Ovis aries: one gene and its partners. The protein of the gene in region 1 interacts with the protein of each later gene in a pairwise test. Links are inferred from orthologs where the notes say so. Each region holds a gene or a part of one and is shown on either strand. Other genes may lie near its edges.

Region 1 (8,029 bases):
GCAGAGGCCAGGGGAAGCCAGGGTGAACAGGACCAGCCAGGGCCAAGTCCTCTCTGCAGACTCGTGTGCTCAGGGGAGGGGTTGGGGCAAAGGGCAGATGGCCTGATTTCAAATTGGAACTGTGGAGCCACTGCAGGCCTTGTAGAGGCTGATACAGTCAGCACATAACCCTTTGGAATTTCCTTCTGGGAATCAACACTGAAGAAGTAAGAACGCAGACATATGTACACAGATGTTCAGCCCAGCATTATTTACATGAAAACCTTAGAAGGTGTCAACAACAGGCACCTAAGTGGACATGGCACATCCACGTGGTGGCTCACAGACTACCAGGATTTCATTTCTGATGAACATTTAGTGATATGGGAAACTGCTTGCAATTATCACATGGAAAGTATTCCCAATGTTGCTATATTAAAATAGACCCCCTGATGTGCACACATGCATACTGGGTGTAGTTTATCCTGCGTGCACACTTCTTTCTTTGCAGCATCTCTGCAGTCAGGCCACGTCTGCACACAGTGGCGCCTCTGCTCACTGGCTGTGGTTGTCTGGTCTGGGTGTTAAGTGACGGCTCTTGTTATAGATGATGAGGTATGTGCGTCAATGAGACACACGGCGTGCGAGTGTGTGTGGGTGTGTGGCTGTGTAAGCATGTTCACAAACACCAGAAGAAGGGACAGTGTCTTCTAGGAAGAGAGAACAGCAGTGAGAGTAGGCTGTGTGTCCCAGTAGCAGGAGGGGTGGGCAGCCACACCAAGGCTTTGACTAAAGAGGCCTCAGTTCACTGTGGGTGCAGGAGTGATGGGAGGCTTTTCTTGTCTTTGATCTTATCTGTATTTTGTCAACGAGTGGTACATTCATCACAAGATATTTTAAATCCTTTTGTAAGCAGAAAAGTGCTGAGGAACCCCCCAGAACCCCAGGCTGTCCTGTGCGTGGTGGGGGGTACACATCTGTGCACATCTCCAGTTCCCTCCAGCGGGCACAGTCACTCTGGTGCCCCCACTCACCCCTCAGCAGCTCCAGCAGGCTCCCCTTCGGCATGAGCTCCGTGACAATGTACACCGGGTCCCCCACGGACGCCACTGCGTACAGAGCCAGGATGTGCTTGTGCCGCAGCTTCTTCATGGCCTGGATCTCCGACTGGAACGTGTGCTGGTGCAGAAGGTCGGCTGTGGGGGTGGGCGGCCTCGCTGGGTGTGGCCCCTGGAGAAGCTGGGGGCCCTCAGCCTGCCCCTGCACCCAGCCACACCAGCAGCAGCTCAGGAAATGTGGACACCCTTCCAGATACCCCATCTCCCAGGCCAGGATGCCAGGTCAGACCCAGCCTCATCCCCACTGTTCACATGGGGGTCTACTATGCCCACCAGCAGCTCTCCCCACACCCCAGGCACCACAGACACCCCCATGGGGTTTACCGCTGCCCAGCTTGATGTGGAGCTAGAACTCCCCCTAGATGTGCTCCCTTGCAGCCCTGGGTCCCCGGTTCCTGAAGTGGGTGATCTGAACCTCTGGTGGTTCATCTAAGAAGAGTCTAAAGGAACCTTTTCAGATCTCTGGTGATTACTTATTCTAAGGGCTTTTCTTCCATTTACATTAAGAATTTAAAATTTCCTGTCAGGATAAGTGCACTTGGGCAGCGGCATGAAAGCAGAAAGCCACCCAGACGCCGCACTGGGTGCCGCACATGGTCCAGATCAGGGTGCTGAGTGGTGGGTGGGCTGTCAGGGCCCAAGGCTGCTGGGCCACCCGACCCCCACTGGCCCACTGACCTCGGGCGATCACCTTGATGGCCACTCGGACCTTGTCCTTCCAGAGCCCTTCAAAGACCTCCCCGAAGTAGCCGAAGCCCAGCTTCCTGCAGAGCGTGAACTCCTCCCGTGGCCTCTCCCAGTCATCACAGTGGGGCAGGGGCTCTGGCTCGTGCTGCAGGGACATGGGCGGGGGCACCCGTCCACATGAAGTCAGCCTCAGCCACGTCCTGCTGGGGAGGGTCCTGGTGTCCAGCATGTAGCCGGGCTCACAGAGGCTGCCCCCAGCCAAGCTGACCCCTTCTGTGTCCAGCAGACAAAAAGCACCCTCCACCTGCTCTGAACCAGTGACACTGACCTGATTGCCATTCAGACAAAAGTCCTGTCTGTCTGCCGGCCAGGGCATATGGCCGGAGAGACTCAGGACATGGCAGGAACACAGCTGACCTCTTGCTGACCCGGGGGTGAGAGTGCCCACCCTCCCCCCATGCCCGGCTCTGTACAAACACAGCTGACTGGCTGCCAGAGTCCCCAGAGAGTGTCCCCAAGGGTCCCCAGGCAGTTGAGGCAAAGACCCACACCCATCTCCACTGGAGGGTTCGCACCCCTGTAAGGGGCAGTGGGGAGGCCAGGGTCTGGCATGGGGATCAGGGGCCCCTACCTTCCTGCAGGGTGAGGTCAGCCACAGGCCGTGGGACAGGCTCTGGACCTTGTGGTGGTCCACGAGCTCGGACAGGCCAGGGAAGGACACAGCCTCGTTGAGGTGCAGCCGGCCGGCCCGCCACCAGATCTTGTAGTGGCGCACGGTCTGCTGGTCCCGCACTGCACAGAGTGGGGCACTCATGAGCAGGTGCCAAGAAAGTAAGGACCCAACAGGACCTCGGGACAGGAGCCCAGACCTTGGGGCCCTCGCCCACCAAGGGTCAGAGCTCCCAGGGCAAGGTCTAGACGTCCCAGGGCGGGGGAGAGGATAGGCCAGAGGGGCTGAGCTCTACATGCACGAAGGGTTTAGGGACCAGAAGTCTGGAAGTCAGGCCCGGGGGTGGGGAGGCGGCTGTGGAGCGGGGAGGGCAGGAAGTGGGTACCCGAGAGGACATAATCGGCGCCTGGCTTCTCACTGACGCGGATCAGGAAGGACCCCTGCTCGTTGCCCATGGCCTGCAGTCGGTGCAGAGCTTCCGAGCGAGAGATTCGGCCGAAGAACCACCTGCAGGATGGGGGTACCCTGAGCAGAGCAGATCCCCCCAGTGCCCCTGCCTTGAGTCCCAGCCCCCACCTGACCTGACCCTCTGCCTCCTTGAGTTGTGTTCCAGCCCAAACCCACAGATGCCTTCTGACACTCACTGACCCAGAGCACCCTTCTTTGCCCATTGCCAACCCCAAATGTCCCAAGTGGTCAATTTTGGATACCAGGAAAGGCCTGGAGATCCAGAAGTGGGAAAGGCCCCCCACCACTCTGCCTGGGGCATCCCCTGTCTGTGGGGATAGAGCCCCCCATCCTATGGGTGCAGCGACCCATCCCCAACTTCAGATGTGACTCTGCAGCCATGCACTTGGACCCATCTTGTTTGGGTTTTTTGTGGGGTTGTTTTTTTTTTTTTTTTCATTTTGGCCTTGCCAGACAACATGCAGGGTATGGGATCTTAGTTCCCCAACCAGGGATGGAACCCACACCCCTGCAATGGCAGCGCGGCATCTGAAACACTGGACCACCAGGGAAGTTCCTGGGCTACACTGTCCTGTGACCCTGTGGTACCTTCTCCCTCTGGGGCCACAGACACATGGTGCTCAAAAGCCCTGGGATCTGAGGATTCACACGTACCAGCACACACCCATTCTCACACCCCGACTCCCAGCACCAGAGCAGGGACCAGCCTGGACTCTGGAGGGCAAGGTGGGGCCAGTGGGACTCCCCAGGGAACCTCTGCTGCAAGCCGCTCTGCCCTTTGTACCCTCAACCCCTCAGGCCCTGTTGAAATGTGAGCACCCGCACAAGAGGACCACTGCCCAGCACTGAGCCCTGTGGGGTTCACAGCCCACTCCCACCCACCTGCCCAGCACCTCTGGAGTCTCTCCCCTTTGCTCCCAACCCCACCTCCTTGCCTTCTTCCACTTCTCAAATGTGCTGTGTTCCCAGGGACTCGGGGCCTTTGCCCTGGCCATGCTGATCCCGCCTGAGGCCATCCAGTGTGTGCTGTGTCCCTCCAGGAAGACACAGTAGGCACTCCATCAGTGGGGCGCATGGCGCACAGGGACTGCCTACCCAGAGTCCATAGAACCTCCTCGGGTCGTGAGCAGCCCAGGCCAGGCCACTCCTGTGGCCCAAGATTCCTGGGCAGCCCCTCAGGACTGTAGACACCTCCCAGAGCTATCTCGCCAGTGACAGGCAGTCATGCTGGCACAGGAAGCATGTCTGTGGCCCACACTCCGGCTGGCCTGTCTCAACAGCCTTCCCACTCCCTCTGATGAGACCACATGTCTGATTTCAGGTATTTGGAAGGGGAGCAAAGCTTCACTCCCCAGAAGGCCCAGACTTTGCCCTCTCTGGGTCCCACACCGTGCACTGACCATGGGGAAGCCCAGGGGAGGGACCACAGCCTCAGGACCCCCTCCCCGGAAGTCACACACAGACACCCAGCCAGGGATCCCAAGACCAGGATGGTAGGCCCGGCCTCTCGGGAGGACAGGGGTAGGGATATGGAGCCATGGGTTCCCAATCTGTGGCTGCCCAAGGCGCCTGCCCGCACCCAGAGGCCAGCCACGGAGGCACAGAGCTCTGTCCCCACAGACTCCTTTCCCAAGCTCAAGAGGGGCTGCATAGCCCAGGGATGGGGGTGCCTTGGAGTGACCCACCAGGGCCACAGGGACACTCACGGCTCCAACTCCACCGTCTCTTTCTCAGCCAGGTAGTTGTGGGGCACGTAGCCTTCAGCCAGGGCCCGGCCCGCCCCATCCAGCCGCACGGCCCACCACCACTCCTCCTCCTTTCTGGCCACGTGGAAGAGGTCCCCTGCCCGGAAGCTCAGCTCCTCAGCAGTCCGAGCCTCAAAGTCCCAGAGGCCCACATACTGGGGGCCCAGGGGAGCCTGGCCCTTGGATCCCATGGCTGGTGCAGCAGCAAAACTGGGCCGTCTGGCCTTGCCACCTTCTCCGGTCCAGCTGGGAGCAGCATGTGGGCACGGCTGTTCCCAGCAGTCTGTCCCTGCCCCACTGAGCCACCACCCATATCCCTGTGATGAGGCAGCCGTGCCAGCCACACCTATGCCACCAAGGACAGCCCCGCTCGGGCCTTCTCAGGCACCCTAGGCTCCACCCTGAGGGCCACCCCCTGGGCCAGGTCAGTCTGGGCACTAACTGACCAGTTAACACCTGCCGAGAAAGCTGCCCACCAAGTGGTCACAGGTGCCACTGGCCACGTGGCCAGACCTAAGCGCCAGGAGAGGGGAGAGGGGAGTCACTGATCAGGCAGGAGGTGTGGGACTTGGAGCTGGAGGGGCGGGACAAGGCACGCCCTCCCCCAAAGCCCCCGGACTGTGTGGCTGGGCCTGGATCCCAGCATGGCCAGTTCCCAGCAGCGTCCCCACCAGAAGCCCAGGGCTGCTTCTCTGCCTGCCCCCGGAGGAGCTCCCCCGAGGCCCAGGCACCTCCTCCCCGGCCAGAGGCTGGGGTGCCAGGGACTCTGCCCGATGGGAGGGCTGTGAGGACAATGAGCAGGGACTCACACACTCAATCCTGCTTGTGGGCGTTTTCCCTTTTATTGAGAAGAGACTAGGCACCATCCGCCTCTCTGAGATCAAGAACAAGCCTGCTTGGTTCTGACCAAGGAGGACCCAGAGGGGACGGACAGATGGCTGGGCGGTGAGAAGTTCTGAAGCCCCCACCCCTGCACACCTACCCCCTCACCGTTGGCCAGAACTCTCTGACCCCCTTGCCCTTGGGCCCCGCCCCTGAGCTCTGTCCAGAGGGCCTCCGGTTCTGCCCATCACACCAGCAAATGGGAGGGATCTGAGGCTGAGGCCTGGGCCCTCACTAGGGCATCAGCATCAAACCTGTTTAGCTTGTGCTGATGACATGCCCCTGGGAAACGCCGGTGACCCCCACGCACACCTGCCTCTCCTGTCACCCCACCCAGCATGCTCCTCCCTGCCCAGGATGCCTGCCAGCCCCAGTTCCCACACACCCCAGGAAACGAAGAAGGTGAGTCCTTCAACACGGCTGGAGCCCGAGCCCCACAGGCTTCTTGGTCTGGGAACCACCTGAGCCAGAGGAGCCCAGCCCTCACCCTCGGGCACCCCAGCTCTCCCAGGAGAGGGTAGAGAGGGGTCAGGGGCTGAATGCCAGGGCAGAGCTGAGGCCCAGCTGCCTGGTGTCCCAAAAGCCTCGGGCCAAACCCTCTTGCCCCCTCCCCCATCTGCCTGGTTGAGGATGGTGATGCTGGGGACCATGTCTCAGGCTCTGACCCACAACCAAAGTGATTGGGGCCCTGAAGTGGCCTGTTCTCACTTCCCCTCTCTGCTCAAGGGATCCCTCACCCTCCAGGGCCCCCTCCCCTCCCCTCTGGGAAGTCCCCTGCCCCAGTTTCTCTAACCCTGCACAGACTGTTTCTCTGAGCATCTGAGCAGCCCCTGGGGCGGGAGGGTCACTTATCTGCACCCTAGGGTCCCAGCTTCCCATGATGCCTCTGCCCCTTCTGTCCCACAGGCCTCTGGAGCACAGCTGCCAGCCTGGGGCTCCCAGGATGACAGTCGGGAACCCTTAGGGTGGACCCCACCTGCCCAATCCCTGTCCATGTCCATTTCATGGGACTGGAGCCGGCAGGGTGAGGTGAAGCCAACAGCGCACGTCCTGTGACAAAGCCGTGCTTGAGATCAGCCCCAGGGCAGCAGTTGCACCTGGAAACTGGCTGCTTCCTGTCACAGGAGGGCCAGTGGTCACCAGGTGCCCAGACGCCAGAGCATCAGTGTCTGCCCCACCCCAACCCTGCACAGTCAGCCAGCACCCAGGACCCCAGCTCTGAGGCATGATGCCTCCCTGACCTTTGCCCCACCCACAGAGAACCACCCAGAGCGACACGCAGTCACCTAGTCACCAGTCTGAGCTTCCTGTGGTCTGACAACTCCCTCCCTCCCTCTCTCTCTGCTCCAGCCCCAGGGGCATGGGAAAGGCTCTTTAGCTGGCCTCTGCAGCCTCCCCCACCATCCTGTTCCTGCCCACAGCCCAGGGGGTGTGCTGCCTCTGAATCCCCGGATGTGGATGCCAAGATGCCCTGGGGTGGAGGTGGGCACGTGAGGTCCAGTTCTTCCTCGGGCACGATCCACCAGATGGTGGGCTGAGCCGTCAGGCCCAGGTGGCCCACAAGAGGGAGCAGCTATGCCAGTCTGTGTGCCAAGTGGGGCCAGCGCCCTGGGCCTGCCAAAGCCCTAGCACTGGCAGCTGCAAGAAGGCCACAGCAACCCATCGAGGCTCCTGACTGTGGGAGGGGGCTCGATGAGGCAGGCACGGGCAGGAGGCCTCTCTGCCCAGTGTCTCCCTGAGGTCAGGGCGAATGTGGGCTCTGTCTGGGCTTCTCTGCTGAGACCCTCCCTCTCTGGGGAATACTAGTCACCCTGGTGGAGGACGCCGGTCCCTCTCCTGTCTGAGCGGGTGTCCGCGTGTGTCTGCCTCGTGTGCACAAGCTTTGTGTGTCAGCACGTGTCAGGGTGTGAGGCCCACAGCCAGAGGCTCTGTGGGCTGGCACCAGTTCTGGGCAGCAGGTATTGCTGGCAAACACTGTCCTGTGAGAGGGGTCTCTGGGCAGGAGCCCGGGTCATGTGAGGGTGGGGCGGTGGCGCCTGCTAGTGGTGCCCAGCTTCTCCCGCAGTGTGATGAAGTCTGGCCGCTCTTCCGGGCAGCGCCTCCAGCACCCCAGCATGAGCGCGTAGACCTCAGCCGGGCAGGCGGCCGGGCGCGGGAGCCGGTACCCCCGTGAGATCTGCTGTAGAGTCTCGTGGTTGCTCATCCCTGGGGAGAGGCAGGAAGAGAGGCTGGGCAGGTGCTTCTTCCCTTGGCCTGGGAGTCACCCTGGAGCCCACCTCCAGCCCTGGGCAGACCCTGCCAAGCAGGCAGCCTCCAGGCTTGGTACCCCTTCCAGGCTCAGCAATCCCCGGGCAGGGGGTGACTCCTCCTCCAAGCTGGCTCCCATGCTTCCTTCCTTGGACTACCCTTGCCTCCTGCCTTGTGCTGCCAGGAGACCCACCTTCGTAGGGACACCGGCCATATGTGAAGACCTCGTAGAG
Region 2 (6,654 bases), on another chromosome or scaffold:
AAGGGAGTGGAGGGGCAGATGTGGACAGGGAGATGGGACCAGATGGGGCCCAGGGATCCCAGGGAGAATCGTGAGTTTTACCCCTAACAAGGTCAGAGCCACAGCAGGGAGGGGCTGTGAGCAGAGAGGGGTAAAACCTGCTGGGGTTACCGGCTCTCTGACCACTTGATCGGTGAGGATAGGAGCTGGAGACTAGGGAAGTGAGTCCAGGTAAGTGGTGATGGGGTGACAGTCGGGAGAAGCCGCTGGTAGACATGGGGCCCAGCGAAAAGAGGAGTCAGGGCGGAGGGTCTGAGAGCAACTGAGAGGAGAGGGAGGGGCAGAAAGAGCAGGAAGGATGGGGCGGAAGAAGCTGGGGTGGGCGTGTGCAAGGCCGGGAGGGAGGAGGGGATTGGGTGTGGGCTGGCTTCTGGGCCCTGAGTTAGAGGGGCTGCAGGCTGTGGCCACGTGAGATCCCCAGCACTGGGGGCAGAGGGTACCATCCTTGGTGTAAAGAAAGAGCCTGGTTGGAACTGGTTCAAGGGAGGGCTCAGGGCTCAGAGGAGTGAGTGCAGACCGCAAGTGTAGACAGATGAAGTTACCAGAGGTGTATCGCAGAATTAAGGTTCTCAACTGGGCCGGTTCTGCCCCTTTATTCTCCGGCACACTTGGCAACAGGATCACTGGTACTTGACTGTCACCACTTGGGGGCAGGGTACACCTGATGTTTGCGGAATGGAGGCCAGGGAGGAAGACAGCCCCACCACAGCAAGGGATCTGACCCGGCTGAGAACCTTGGGACAGACAGCATTGTGTGGGGTGTAGGTGGGCAAGTAAGCGCTTGTAGATGGAGCAAAGCAGGAATACCAGGGAAGCAGGAGAGCAAGGGGAACTGAGGTGTTAACACCGAGATTAGTTAAATTAGAAGGGTGTGACTCGGACACTGGCCAGGGTGGGAAACCCTCTCAGAGAGGATGAAGGTCGTAGAATTGCCAAATGTTGGATAAAAGGTCTCTGCCAAATCCACCCCCCTGCAACAATGTGCCTGCCTTCTGAACATCCAGCCCTTGTTTGCGTACCTCCAGCGATCGGGAGCTCACCCCTTACTGAGCCACCAGTCTAGTGTCTGGGAGACTCAAGGTTGCATGTGGTGTCTCCAGTCCTGTCCAGCACCTTCTCTGCAGCCCGAGGACTTCTGACCATCAGGCGGTTTCCCCCTGTGAGCCCGATTCTCGGATTGGGGCTGAATTCTTCCCCGAGAGGCCCAGACAGCAGCTGAGCCATGTCTGTGCTTACGCTTGTTCCCCAGACTTGATGCCTGTACCTGCTGACTTTGCTGTCAGGGAGGGTCTGGCAGCCCCATCCCGGAGACCGCGCTCCAGGAAGGCATCCTGTCCCCTCATGCGCAGCAATGGAGACCTGGTAGGGTCGGGGGCAGCAGGAGCTGGGCTGGGGGGGTCGCCTCCAGGATCAGCCTCGGGGCACTTCTGCCAGGGTGTTCACAGGCCGGCTTCTCTTCCCTTCCAGTCTCGTTCCCTGAGCCCCTCTCCACTGGGCTCTTCAGCTCCCAGCTCCATCCCTGAACGGCCCAGCTTCACATCCCAGACCGGACATGGTATGTGGGTCCTCTCTGGGCTTCAGGGTCACCTTCTCCAGTCCGGGTGGGTGGCCAAGATACAACAGAGGCTTTGTCGCAGAGGGCGGGGGTTCGGGAGCCTGGGATCTGTGCTCACTCTGTCTGTCCCCCATTCCCTCCCTGCCACCCCCAGGAGTCTCTCGGGGTCCCAGCCCTGTGGTCCTGGGCTCCCAGGATGCCCTGCCCGTGGCCACGGCCTTCACTGAGTACGTCCATGCCTACTTCCGTGGCCACAGCCCCAGGTACACAGTGGTGGGGCAGATGGGGACAAGCAGACAGGGCTTCCTGGGAGCTGTGCATCTGGGTTCCAGCAGGGCCAGCGTTCAGGGGGGTTTCCTGATCTGCTTTACCACGGAACGGCCTCTAGGCCCATCCTGAGAGCAATAGGAGCCATAAGGGGCATTTGAACAGGCTAAGGCAGTGAGGTGGGCTTCCCAGGGGGCTCAGTGGCAGAGAATCTGCCTGCCACGCAGGAGATTCAGGTTCCCCGTGTCGGGAAGATCCCCTGGAGAAGGAAATGGCAGCTCGCTCCAGTATTCTTGCCTGGAAAATCCCATGAACAGAGGTGCCTGGCAGGCTACAGTCCACGGGGAGGCAAAGAGTCGGACATGACTTAGTGACTGAGCGGGTGTGCACACACACACAGGCAGGCAGGCAGGGCACTGATGTTTCCATGGTGGAGCGGAGCTCCTCCGAGGCTGCTGTGGGCATCACACTGCAGGAGCAAGACCAGAGGCCAGCCCACAGAGCGGGAAAGGGAAAGGTGACTCGAGGGACCAGGAATAATCTGGGGGCAGCGCCCAGCCGAAAGACACTGTAAGATGAAGCCACAAAGAGTATCAGACCCAAAACCCAAGCTGAGGACTGAATGGTTTGCTTTGAGCTTCCTGGTGGCCTAGGGGAAAAGAGAAGGGGGAAGGGAGTGTCCCTGTCTCCTTCAGCTCATTGTGGATTCTTCCTGGTGTCTAGATTGCTGTCCAGGCAGGGAGACAAGGGGAGGTAGCTGGGGCTGGGATGCTGCCTGGGTCAGGGCCTTGCTGATTCTGATGGACCTGGTGAGCCACAGGCTACAGTGGAGCTAGTAGCGAGGGGAGGAAGAGGAGCTTGGTAGAGCCCTAAGCCAATGCCCAGTTTCTTCAACTCCCCCCACCAGCTGCCTGGCTCGAGTAACTGGGGAGCTGACCATGACCTTCCCTGCCGGCATCGTACGCGTGTTCAGCGGGACCCCACCCCCTCCCGTCCTCAGCTTCCGCCTCGTGCATACGGCCCCCATTGAGCACTTCCAGCCCAACGCTGACCTGCTCTTCAGGTACCATTAGAAGAAGGGGTGCATAGTTGGGTGGTACCAGGGGCTGGAGGAGGCCAGGCGCTCCCCGGCCCTGAATTTCTGTTCTGCCTCCTGGGATTTGCTGTGTGACCTTGGGCAAGTCACTCTCCCTCTCTGAAACTCACTTTCCTTCCCTCTTTTGCTTCCCACCACCCTCCTTTCCTGGGAGTTACACTTTCCTGGTCCCAGGGTTAGCCTGGGAATCTGCATCTTCAGGAGGCCTTTGGTGTAGGCATCTCCCAAGGGTTGGGGTGACTCTTCTTGGTCTCTGCAGTGACCCTTCCCAGAGTGACCCAGAGACCAAAGACTTCTGGCTCAACATGACGACTCTGACTGAGACTCTGCAGCGCCAGGCAGAGCAGAATCCAGCTGCCTCCTACTACAACGTAGTGCTCCTGCGGTACCAGGTGGGCCGGGTGGATGGGGTGGGGCAGAGCGGGCATGGAGGATGGTGGGCAGGGGCAGGGTGAGCAGGCAGCTCTCACTGGGAAGAGCAGTGGGAGTGGGGGGAGCTGTGGGAGGTAGGCAGGGTGGGCAGTGTAAGGGGGCCAGGACTCTGCTGGGGCAGACGGCTGCATTATGCAAATTAGAAGGGGCCTTTTCCCAGGGCCTGTCCCCAAGACTGTGTTAGAATGAGGCACTCTATTGCCCTCTGCTGGACATGTCATGTAGTACAATCTCTCATCAACAAAGAGCTCCCTTGGGGTATCAGGAGCCCCTCGGGTGTCACAGGCAGTGCAGAATCAGGCCATTTGAATGCTGGGTGACATGGCAGGGGCAGCATGGCTGGACAGTGTGTGGTGTGGCAGGACAGGGCAGCTCAAGCCACATCCTCTCTCCTGTTCTTGCTCCCCCTAGTTCTCCCGCCCCGGTCCCCAGTCCATGCCTCTGCAGCTGAGCGCCCACTGGCAGTGTGGGCCGACCCTCACTCAGGTCTCGGTGGAGTACAGCTACCAACCCGGTGCCACAGTCGTGCCCACGCCACTCACCAATGTCCAGATCCTGCTCCCCGTGGGGGAACCTGTGACCAATGTCCGCCTGCAGCCGGCTGCCACCTGGTGAGGGCGAGCGGGAGGCCGGGAGAGGCTCAGATCCTAGTAGACCGCCCTCCGATGCAGCAGCTGATGGGTCCACTGTAGGCCTGACCATTCACTGTGGGCTCACCTTGCTCAGAGGCTTCCCAAAGAAGCTTGGTGTTAAAGAACCCATCCACCAGTGCAAGGAGACGCAGGAGATGTGGATTCAGTCCCTGGGTCAGGAAGGTCCCTGGGAGGAGGAGATGGCAGCCCACTCCAATATTCTTGCCTGGAGAATCCCCACGGACAGAGCAGCCTGCGGGCTACAGTCCAGGGGGCCGCAAACAGTCAGAGAGGACTGGAGTGACTGAGCGCGCTTGCACGTGCCTTGCTTGGAGCTAAGGGCAATATCATTAACAAAAGTAATGTCTGACACCAAAAGCTTCCTACCTGTTAGGCGTGTCCTACATCTCTGCATACACTGACTGGCTCGGGGCTTTTAGCAATCCCTTGAGGGGTGGATCACCATCATCCCCACTTACCGAGGGGGAGCTGAGGTATACAGAAGCAAAGTCGTTGACCGGAGGTCACACCAGGATGTGAACCAGCCACCCACTCGTGGCCCCGGGCTTTTAGTCACTGCACAACTTTGTTTTGTGCAGAAGGTAGAACCAACAACCAAGAAACCGAATTTATAGGACCAAATGCATCACCTACAAGTGCTATGAGGCTGAGGAGCCTTCAGGAAACAGCTGCTCCACACCCCCGCCCCCATTTTCACACATGGGGAAACTGAGGCCAGGGAGGGGACATGGCTTTCTTGGGTCATGTAGCCAAGAGGCAACTGAGCTGGGACCCTGGGCTCCGAATATCTTTTCTGGGAAAGACCTGACCTGATCTCTTGATGCCAGGAACCTGGAGGAGAAGCGGCTCCTATGGAAGCTTCCAGATGTGTCTGAGGCAGGGGGTGAGTTATGGTCGTACATAAGGGCTTGGAGGTCTCAAATGGGATAGGCTTATTTAAACTACGGAAGAGGGAATTCCCTGGCAGACTAGTGGCTAGACTCCACGCTTTCACTGCAGAGGGCGGGGATTCGATTCCTGGGCAGGGAACTAAGATCCAGTAAGCCATGGGACGTGGCTAAAAATGTTTTGTAAATAAACTAGGGGAGAACTAGGGATGTGCTGGAGCAGGGAAATGTAGGCATCAAGGAAAGCTTAAAAGGGCTTTGACAATGCGGAAGAGAGGGCATCCCAGGGGGTGGGCGCAGGAGATGCACACAGGAGGTGCAAAGGCCCTGAGGCAGAATTCCTTTGGAAACCACACACAACCCCAGCAAGACCAAAGGAAAAGGGTGCAGGACAAAAGAAGTCGTCAAAGGGAACAGAGCCACAGGTCAAAGGGCTTGGGTGCAGGGCTGAGGAGGAGCCCAGGTCACTGGAGGGCTGGGGTGAGGAAAAGGGCACGGCTGACCTCAGACCTCCCCAGGCTCTGGCCGCCTGTCTGCCAGCTGGGAGCCATGCTCTGGGCCCAGCACGCCCAGCCCTGTGGCTGCTCAGTTCACCAGTGAGGGGGCCACTCTGTCCGGCGTGGACGTGGAGCTGGTGGGGAGTGGCTACCGCATGTCGCTGGTAAAGAGGAGGTTCGCCACAGGTACGCCCTTGCCCTGCCACTGCACATCCCCGGAGCCAAGACCAGGCCGGGCTCTGAGTCCCACTCATTGCTTCTTCTAGGATGCAGGGGGAGGGGAGACATTTAGGGTGTTTGGAAGAGATAGGTGGGTGTTGGGGCCTGGAGACCCAAGGTGGCGGGTACGGGTGGAGAGATGGGTGGTCAGAGCCCCAGTGAAAGGGATCAAGACGTATCCTCTATGGGACTTCCCTGACCAGCCAGTGGTTAAGACACCATGCTTCCACTACAAGGGGCATGGATTCAAGCCCTAGTCCGAGAACACATGCACAGTGCAGCCAAAAAAGAAAGAAAAAAAGAAGTGTCCCCTGGCTGGCTGGCGTCCTTGCGAGAACCCAAGGCAGGGAGCCGGAGGCCCCACTGGTGCATCCACCCCCACCCCCATCCCATGCTTCTGTCCTCATGAGCGGCTGCTGGGGTCCATGGGACAGTGGAACAGTGAGTTACAGGGGTGTTTGGGAGAGCTTAGGGGATCCCTTCTCCCCTCACCACCCTGTCTCCACAGGGAAGTACCTGGTGAGCTGTTAAGCCCACAGAAGCTGACCAGCATTGCTGGCCCCAGCTCCGCTCTGCATCGTGGTGCTCGCTGACTGCTTCCTGCCCTCCTGCTGGACCCGGGGGCTCCCCACCTGGCCTCCCCTGAGGCCCTGATTCCATGGAGAGGATCCCCGTACTCAATTTGGCTGAGCCTGAGATCACTCCTGCTCACGCCGACTCCCGTGCAGGTCCTCGACCTTTTGATGTTCTTTACATAAACACTCTATTTTCTAATAAAATAAATAACAAGACTTTTCCTGCACCAGGAAGTTTCCTTCACGTTTCCAGAGAGGAGAGGAAGAAAAGACGGATGGGTAGGAGAGAGCTAAAATTCCTAATGATCTTACCTCCACCCCTCCACCCTTACCTAGCCAGTGCAGGGTGATATTGAGGCAAAAAAAGCCAAATATGAACACCCCCAACCCCATGAATACCTCCAGTCCCGTGGGCTGGTGAAAGAGAACACGGA
Region 3 (7,511 bases), on another chromosome or scaffold:
TTCTATACTTCTTCCTATTAAGTGACCAGTCACTGATAATTCTATGTTTTATTGACCTTCCAGTGATTATAAAGTAATTTAAGTGGTTTTTGAAAGTAAACTTAATTCCAGTTTCAGACTTTTAAATTAAAAGTGGCTCAGTTGGATACTGTCTCTTCAACACTGTAATATAAATATTAGTATCTCGGCTAAAATGAATTATTGACAATTTTAATACATGTTGCACAGTACATATTAATATAGAAAAATACATGTTATCAGCAGCATAATGTTGACCATGTTCTAATCCATTCCACCTGCTCAAATATTAGTGAAAATAATTATATATTTGTAATGCATCACTGCTGTCTAGCACAAATCTATGCCTTCTGAATAAATGACTTTCCTCTGAGCTTGTTTGCTGTCTGGAGTATGACTGTGATATATTCATATTTCAATTGGCTTCGTATGTACGGTGAAGCAGATAGCAACCTTCTAAACCACTTAGGAAATGAGCAAGTATGGTTAATTACTTGTCTCTCCCCCACAAAAGTGTTATTAATCCTAAGAACTAAAGTTTAGCGTTACCTCCCAGATAACAATGTTCAAGTATACAGAGAAAAAAGCGTTTGTCACTTAGTCATGTCCGACTCTTTGAGACCCCATCGACTGCAACCTGTCAGGGCCCTCTGTCCATGGGATTCTCTAGGCAAGAATATTGGAGTGGGTTGCCATTTCCTTCTCCAGGGGATCTTCCTGAACCAGGGATCAAACCCAGGTCTTCTACATTACAGGCAGTTTCTTCACTGTCTGAGCCATCAGGGTAAGCCCAAAAGTATACAGTGAAAGTGAAAGTCACTCAGTCAAGTCCAACTCTTTGCAACCCCATGGACTAGACAGTCCATGGAATTCTCCAGGCCAGGATACTGGAGAATATCCCTTCTCCAGGGGATATTCCCAACCCAGGGGTAGAACCCAGGTATCCCGCATTGCAGGCAGATTCTTTACCAGATGAGCCGCAGCAGAAGCCCCGAAAGCACGCAGGGCCTTGTTTAAAAATATCAGTCTTGTTAAGCCCAAGGTTATCAACCTAGCTGCTTCAAATCACCAATTAAAATTCTTATTTTCTAATGTGTCAGATTTCTCTTCTACACTGAGGGTTGTTTCTCCCCTTAAATTAGGAAAGAGAAAGACTGATCAGTAGTAAGAATAAAAGTTAAGAGTTAAGGCAATTTTAAAAACATTAAATATACAATATTTGATTACATGAAAATGACAGCCTATTGCTAATACACTGAGTACTTTTTTCTCTTATGCTTTCACTCTAGCATTAGCTATTTTACCACTACCAATGCACTAAATGATCAACAGAACTGGCAAACTTATGACATTAAAATAGTTTGTTTCTGAAGGCAGAAATACTGATTTCTTATCTTTAAAGGTGGAATTGTCGTTTACTCCTATGGCACAAAATATCTGAATTCTTTCTATTGCAAAAATTATAACTCAAGTAGCACTATGACTACACAAAATACTACTAAAGAACTTTTTGAAGGAAAGATTTCTAGTAGGCACAAACTTAATATTCAATTAAATTGCATGACCACTTATAAAATTTTAAAGCCCAAGGTTATCAACCTAGCTGCTTCAAATCACCAATTAAAATTCTTATTTTCTAATGTGTCAGATTTCTCTTCTACACTGAGGGTTGTGTATGACTACACAATGGACACATTAAAAAAAAGTCTAAGAGTAAATTAATTAGCTCTGTATCTCAACTTCATAATCTAAACACTACAATGAGAACCAAATACTGGATGAAAGGAAAGATTAAACAAAACTAATGAGCCCATCAAACTAAAGGACCTATTTAATATTTAATGTTACATAGGGAGAAAAGTGCATAAAGCACAAATAGCGAGAATGATTCAGGTTTCAATCTGAGCCTTTTACTTAGCTGCAGACCTTGAGCAGATCTACTTACAACTTTCTGGGCAATGGGCATCTTCAAATGGAGATAATAGTACTCTGCTCTTAGGGCTGCTTTGAAACCAAATGAAATAACATATGCAAAGGGCTTAGCACAGTGCACAGGACTTAAGTCAATAAATATAGCTATAATTGTCTTTTTTATGCATCAAAATTTTTAAAGGCCATTTTTACTTTATGTAGAATTACTTAAAGTAACAATATGGACTGGTTCTTTTCCTCCAAAGTACACAATGTATTTCACGACAGACTTTCTCAAGCCAAGAGAAGTACTAGAGAACTGAATATAGCTAAACTAAATGGATGAAAGCACAGAATGCTTTGTATGTCAAATTCTGCACTAGAAATTATGCTTCTAGAAAACATCTCACACTTCTGAGTCAAAGGGCAAATAAGAGTAATACACAGAATATCTCTGCATTAAAAAAAGCTAAACTCCAAGATAGGAGGTTTTGAAGTCACTAACAAATTACACACCCAGGATACCTGACTCTCACATGCAGTTCAAGCATGCCTTGCTGCTGCTGCTGCTAAGTCGCTTCAGTCGCGTCAGACTCTGTGCGACCCCACAGACGGCAGCCCACCAGGCTCCTCCATCCCTGGGATTCTCTAGGAAAGAATACCGGAGTGGGTTGCCATTTCCTTCTCCAATGCATGAAAGTGAAAAGTGAAAGTGAAGTCGCTCAGTTGTGTCCAACTCTTAGCGACCCCATGGACTGCAGCCTATGCCTTAGGTAATATATAAATATGACCACCTTTACAGGTTTTCTGGCATTTCAGGAACAAAAATCTCTTTATCTAACTAGATGTAAATATTCAACATCATAGATGAGCAAAAGGCATTTTAAGGAAGCAGCACATTCTCCACTTTGAATCTATCTACTGGGTGATAATTATTTTATGATGTGAAATATTTCAAGTGAAAGAGAAAAGAGATAGTCTAAACTATACCATAAATTAACTTACTTAGAAGCTCTCTTTAAAAGAAGAAAGGTGCTAGGGATTTACAACAATGGTGGTACTCAAAATGAGGCTACTAATAATTGTCTTAGAATAGTCAGATAGCCAACTGTCTAAGGATGCATCCAGCCATTATGTTAATAATTCCTCATAAGAAGTATTCATCTACTTTGGTTAGCTGTTGTTTTCAATATCACCTGCATTCTATATTTCACTTTCTGTATCATTTTATGAAAACATAATACACTCAAGCTTTTTCTTGAGTGTTTCTGCATATTCTAAAAATGCAGTGTTTAAGAGCATATTTTTAATTTCAAAATATTTTCTAAACATTGCATGTTAGCTCATGTGAAACTGGAAAATTATGAAGATTCTCCTTATTCAAATGTTGGCTAAAGTTACTAATGTATAAAGCTCCTTTATCACTACCTAAAATTTTACCATATGCATATGTTTACTTATCTATCATCTCTTTTGAGTCATATATATTTGGGACAAAATTTCATACTGTCCACTAATATGAAAACTACTTTAAAAATCAAATATAACAAATCCAAAGAATGCACACTGTTTTATACAATAAATTTTTTTCTTAGAGAAATTTTTTGTTTCTAATTTTGATTATATAGTCAAGTATTTTCCTGCTTAAAAAGGAAGTGAGAAGACCTATGCCATGAAAATAAGGAACATCTTAAAAATTCAATAAAAATAATTTATAAAATTCAGTATGATGTCTTCAAAATGTAAAAATGGAGTGAAATAAAAAAACAACTGCAGGGAATTTGTTTATTGAGCAATAATGTTAACACTTCTAAATTAAGTATTCACTTATGAGTTTTCTTTGTTAGTGTCCTGTCAATGGTCATAATGGAAAATATTGCACATAACTCAAATATAAAAATAAAAATCAACAAAATAGCTATGCAACAAATATATGCTTTACATTTTAAAAATTAATCCAAACAAAATAATCTGAAACACTTCTCTGATGTGGAAGTCTTATAATGTTCTCTCATGTTTTATTTGATATTCCCCCCCCCCTTTTTTTTTTAAACAAATTGACACTGTGTACAAAGTTCAAATGGCCAGTAAAACTACTGCTTTAAAATTGTTGGCTTTAAGTAACAGAGGTATAATTTGAATTCACATCAGAGCTTTCTAAAATGGCAATAGTACAAGCATATGACTCTCTAATATCCAAAACCTGTTCTGGCTTTCCTTTGGCTAAGGAACAGAAAACTAGACAGCCTTCCAAAGCTGCCACAACTTCCTAAAATGCTTTGATAAATGTTGGCATACTTTATTTCTCTTGCTTACCTAGATAACACTGGGCTAAACAGAAAATGAAGAAAATTCAGTTAAAAGTAACTTAAATAGTAGCTAGCTCACTCTGGACCTGGAAGTTTTGGTAAAGTTGAACATTCAGAAACATATTCTTAAATGTAGTTTTCCAAAATTAGGCCAAAAAGCCTACATTAGAGGAAAAAGAAAAGCCAAAAATGAGTCAAACATTGAAGTTTATCTGTTCCTGGAAGACTACGAATAATACAATGGAAGCTGAAACACTACATACAGCTAAGAATGCATTCTTGCAGAGAAAGTTTATAGTTAATAATTTTTTTTAATTTCCACTTGATATTTAAAATTTTATAAGTGATTTATTATGTCACCATATTAAGCCAATTCAATTAACTACACTCAGTAGGAATCGCTTCAGAAATGCCTTGAAAAAGATAATGACAGACACTATATATTTAAAAACTACTAGTCCTTACAAAGTTCATCTCTGGACTAGAATATAATGCTGACTATCAATTCCCAATTCCTCTTAAAAGAGAAGACTACCTGCATGTTTAGCCATTCCATCTTTTTTCAGTTTAGCATAAGGATAAAAATCTTAAAGGATTGCATTGCTGCTAAACACTGCCAGTAATTCTCATATGCACCATTTAGTCTATACCTCACTTTTTTACTTCCCTTATAATATTAAAATAATGAATAAATATGGTCCTTTAGTTAACATCCTCTACTTTATCTTAAAAGAAATATAAAATAAGGTAGCTTTATTAACTTCTTGCTAGCATTGGCTTAAAATCTGTTTACCAAATAAGAAATTGTAAACTTTTTTTTTCCTTTTACCCAGAAAGCAGATGTATTTTGATCCACACTGCTAATACCTACATAAAATGTATTTCATTTTAGTTTTCTTTATAACATTTTTTTGGAATAGTATTACTGTTGTACCTCAGAAAAAATTCAATGAACCAACTACAGAAATTATGCCCAATTTTCAACCTTTGAAATAGGTAAAAAGTTCTCCAGGAAAACTTAAAAATAATCTGATTAACAATTACCACTGCTGTAAAGGTCATTGAAAACTGATAAATAATAATTGAGTCTTGCTGTATTTTACCCATCATTAGTGCAAAACAGGAAGCTGAAATTTCCCAATGGACTATGTTAAAGAACATGAACTGGAATACTGGTAACAATCTCATTTACCTTCTGACATCAACATTTTCCAGGATGAAAACAATGACATATAGCTTCACAGAGTTTGAGATTTATATAAGTTCAGAAATGGAATTAAAACTTTTAAGGAAAAACCAAAATATTCTTAGTATTGTCCAAATTTCAAATAAATCCTCAAGGGTAAGTATGGCTGCTGTTTTTCCAAACAGTCATTTTTCAATAAAATGTTGGCTGTGTCATAAGAAACCTTCTGTGCTTTCTTTCAACCAAGGCTTGCTGGAGTACAACACATTTCCCTTGTAAATTCAACCTCAGCTGAAATGTCGAGCAAGGCGGGCAGATCTATAGTCAGCACGAAGTTGTACGAAGGAGTGAAGAATGTTCTTGTCCAGATTAGCAAGTTGTTCTCCTGAGCAGACTTGCTTTAAATTATCTGGGTTTACTACCAGAAGATTGCAAAGTGCATGCAGAGTATCAAAAAGCTGTAATACCAGAGGAATCTGAATTGAGATAAGAGAAGGAAAAAAATATTTCTAGTTTTATAATCAGTTTGTAAATTCTTCTCACTTATGTACTGTCAGGAATTAACTGTTAAAGAGTTCAATGTTAGAATTTTTAAAAGCTACCAAAGTGTTAAAAAACTCAAATATTTCAGACATTATATAAACTCAACATAATCTTTTTGAAAAGATTCATATTGTGCCAATTTACTCAAACAGTAATAATCATTTATACTTTTGTGAAGTAGAACTAGTTATCATTAATTTACAGCTTTTTAAAATAATTTAAACATTGGATGGAAACTAATTTCAGAGAGATATACATGAAGAAAGAACATATTTTCTTGATATATGATATACAGCATTAGTTATGGGCATTAATAAGGTCATCTGGACTATGGAACTAAAATATGGCATTTTCTAAAAGCTCAAAGCAAAAATGCGTTAATACTGACTGGAGTAATACTTTTTCATTTAGGAAATGTCAGATCTGTCTCATTACAGTATCAACAAAAGTTATAAACTTTCCCGATGGTTATGTCAGTATACATTTTTATGATCTGACTTATGTTCTTGAACTTATTTACAAGTTTGATATTTGTGAATACATACCTTGAAGTCTTTGGCACACCTCCTATACTCAGCTACGTCACAAATTGCTAACATGCCACCCATACAGCTATAGGAATATTGTTGAAGATGCTCATAAATAAGTCGATGAAAACGTACTCCAAGTTCCATCAAAACTGTATCCACATTCTTCCCATCCATGGAATTTTTAATCTTCTCCACTTGTTTTCTTACGTAAGCACAGACTTTAACACAGGCCTGTAAAATTTTTTCTACACTTATTACACAGAAATATGTATTAGCTTAGCTAAGGAGAAAATACATATAATTTCTCATTAATCTCTAAGAATTAAAAAAAAACACTTGGAGCATAATAAGATACATCAATGAAATGTTAATAAGAATATGAATAAAGCAGATATAAAAAAACACTTGGAGCATAATAAGATACATCAATGAAATGTTAATAAGAATATGAATAAAGCAGATATTCTTACTAGCATATTAAATCATTTTACTCACATTAGTATACTGAATCAAAACATTGTTTTCATCTTCTGGCTTAAAATCTGTTTTCTTTTGTTCTGCAGCCAAGATATGCTTCATTTGTCCAATCATACAATTTAATGTCCTACAGAATTGAGAATACCATGTATTTGATCCATTTAATTTACTTTAATTTATATTATTTATACTAAATTAAATTTAAATTATTTAATTTCATGTCACCATAAAACTACTTTACTATTGGTATACTTCAGATTATAAAACAAGTAAATTCTAGCTCTTGATAGCAAAGAGATCTTAATTTTATTAGCTTCCTGCTCAAAACACAGGGCAAAGATTCATTTGTCCATTACTTTATTTAAGGAAATCTTAAAGATCTTAGAAGACTGTCACTAATTCATTTCTTTCACAAGTATATTTGGAGAATGCTTAGGAAGGGAGTAAGAAAGAAGAACTTATAAGGAATGGCCAAAGTTTGGAAGAACAGGTGAGAAGAACCCGAGTTTCAGTCTAAGGATAAGCAGGAGGCTGAAT

The links.
Region 2: the proteins of PTK6 (region 1) and FCHO1 interact in binary tests that used the Homo sapiens proteins (3 or more experiments, as listed by UniProt). The two-hybrid records come from large-scale screens. The link is inferred for Ovis aries from reciprocal best matches to the Homo sapiens genes PTK6 and FCHO1.
Region 3: the proteins of PTK6 (region 1) and EXOC5 interact in binary tests that used the Homo sapiens proteins (3 or more experiments, as listed by UniProt). The two-hybrid records come from large-scale screens. The link is inferred for Ovis aries from reciprocal best matches to the Homo sapiens genes PTK6 and EXOC5.

The regions. Positions count from the first base shown.
Region 1 is NC_056066.1:53,827,469-53,835,497, reverse strand, and holds the start of PTK6 (protein-tyrosine kinase 6), read right to left. Parts: upstream 4,929-8,029; 5' UTR 4,859-4,928; coding exon 4,629-4,858; intron 2,962-4,628; coding exon 2,840-2,961; intron 2,577-2,839; coding exon 2,416-2,576; intron 1,930-2,415; coding exon 1,776-1,929; intron 1,176-1,775; coding exon 1,014-1,175; intron 1-1,013. Other genes in the region: tyrosine-protein kinase Srms, read right to left, coding at 7,561-7,754, 7,990-8,029. UniProt on the Homo sapiens protein: Non-receptor tyrosine-protein kinase implicated in the regulation of a variety of signaling pathways that control the differentiation and maintenance of normal epithelia, as well as tumor growth.
Region 2 is NC_056058.1:5,137,335-5,143,988, reverse strand, and holds the end of FCHO1 (F-BAR domain only protein 1), read left to right. Parts: intron 1-1,288; coding exon 1,289-1,401; intron 1,402-1,506; coding exon 1,507-1,594; intron 1,595-1,748; coding exon 1,749-1,857; intron 1,858-2,768; coding exon 2,769-2,924; intron 2,925-3,216; coding exon 3,217-3,349; intron 3,350-3,800; coding exon 3,801-4,000; intron 4,001-4,869; coding exon 4,870-4,925; intron 4,926-5,447; coding exon 5,448-5,612; intron 5,613-6,153; coding exon 6,154-6,176; 3' UTR 6,177-6,436; downstream 6,437-6,654. UniProt on the Homo sapiens protein: Functions in an early step of clathrin-mediated endocytosis. Has both a membrane binding/bending activity and the ability to recruit proteins essential to the formation of functional clathrin-coated pits.
Region 3 is NC_056060.1:67,662,587-67,670,097, forward strand, and holds part of EXOC5 (exocyst complex component 5), read right to left. Parts: exon of another isoform or gene 7,240-7,511; intron 7,102-7,239; coding exon 6,993-7,101; intron 6,729-6,992; coding exon 6,513-6,728; intron 5,901-6,512; coding exon 5,712-5,900; 3' UTR 1-5,711. UniProt on the Homo sapiens protein: Component of the exocyst complex involved in the docking of exocytic vesicles with fusion sites on the plasma membrane.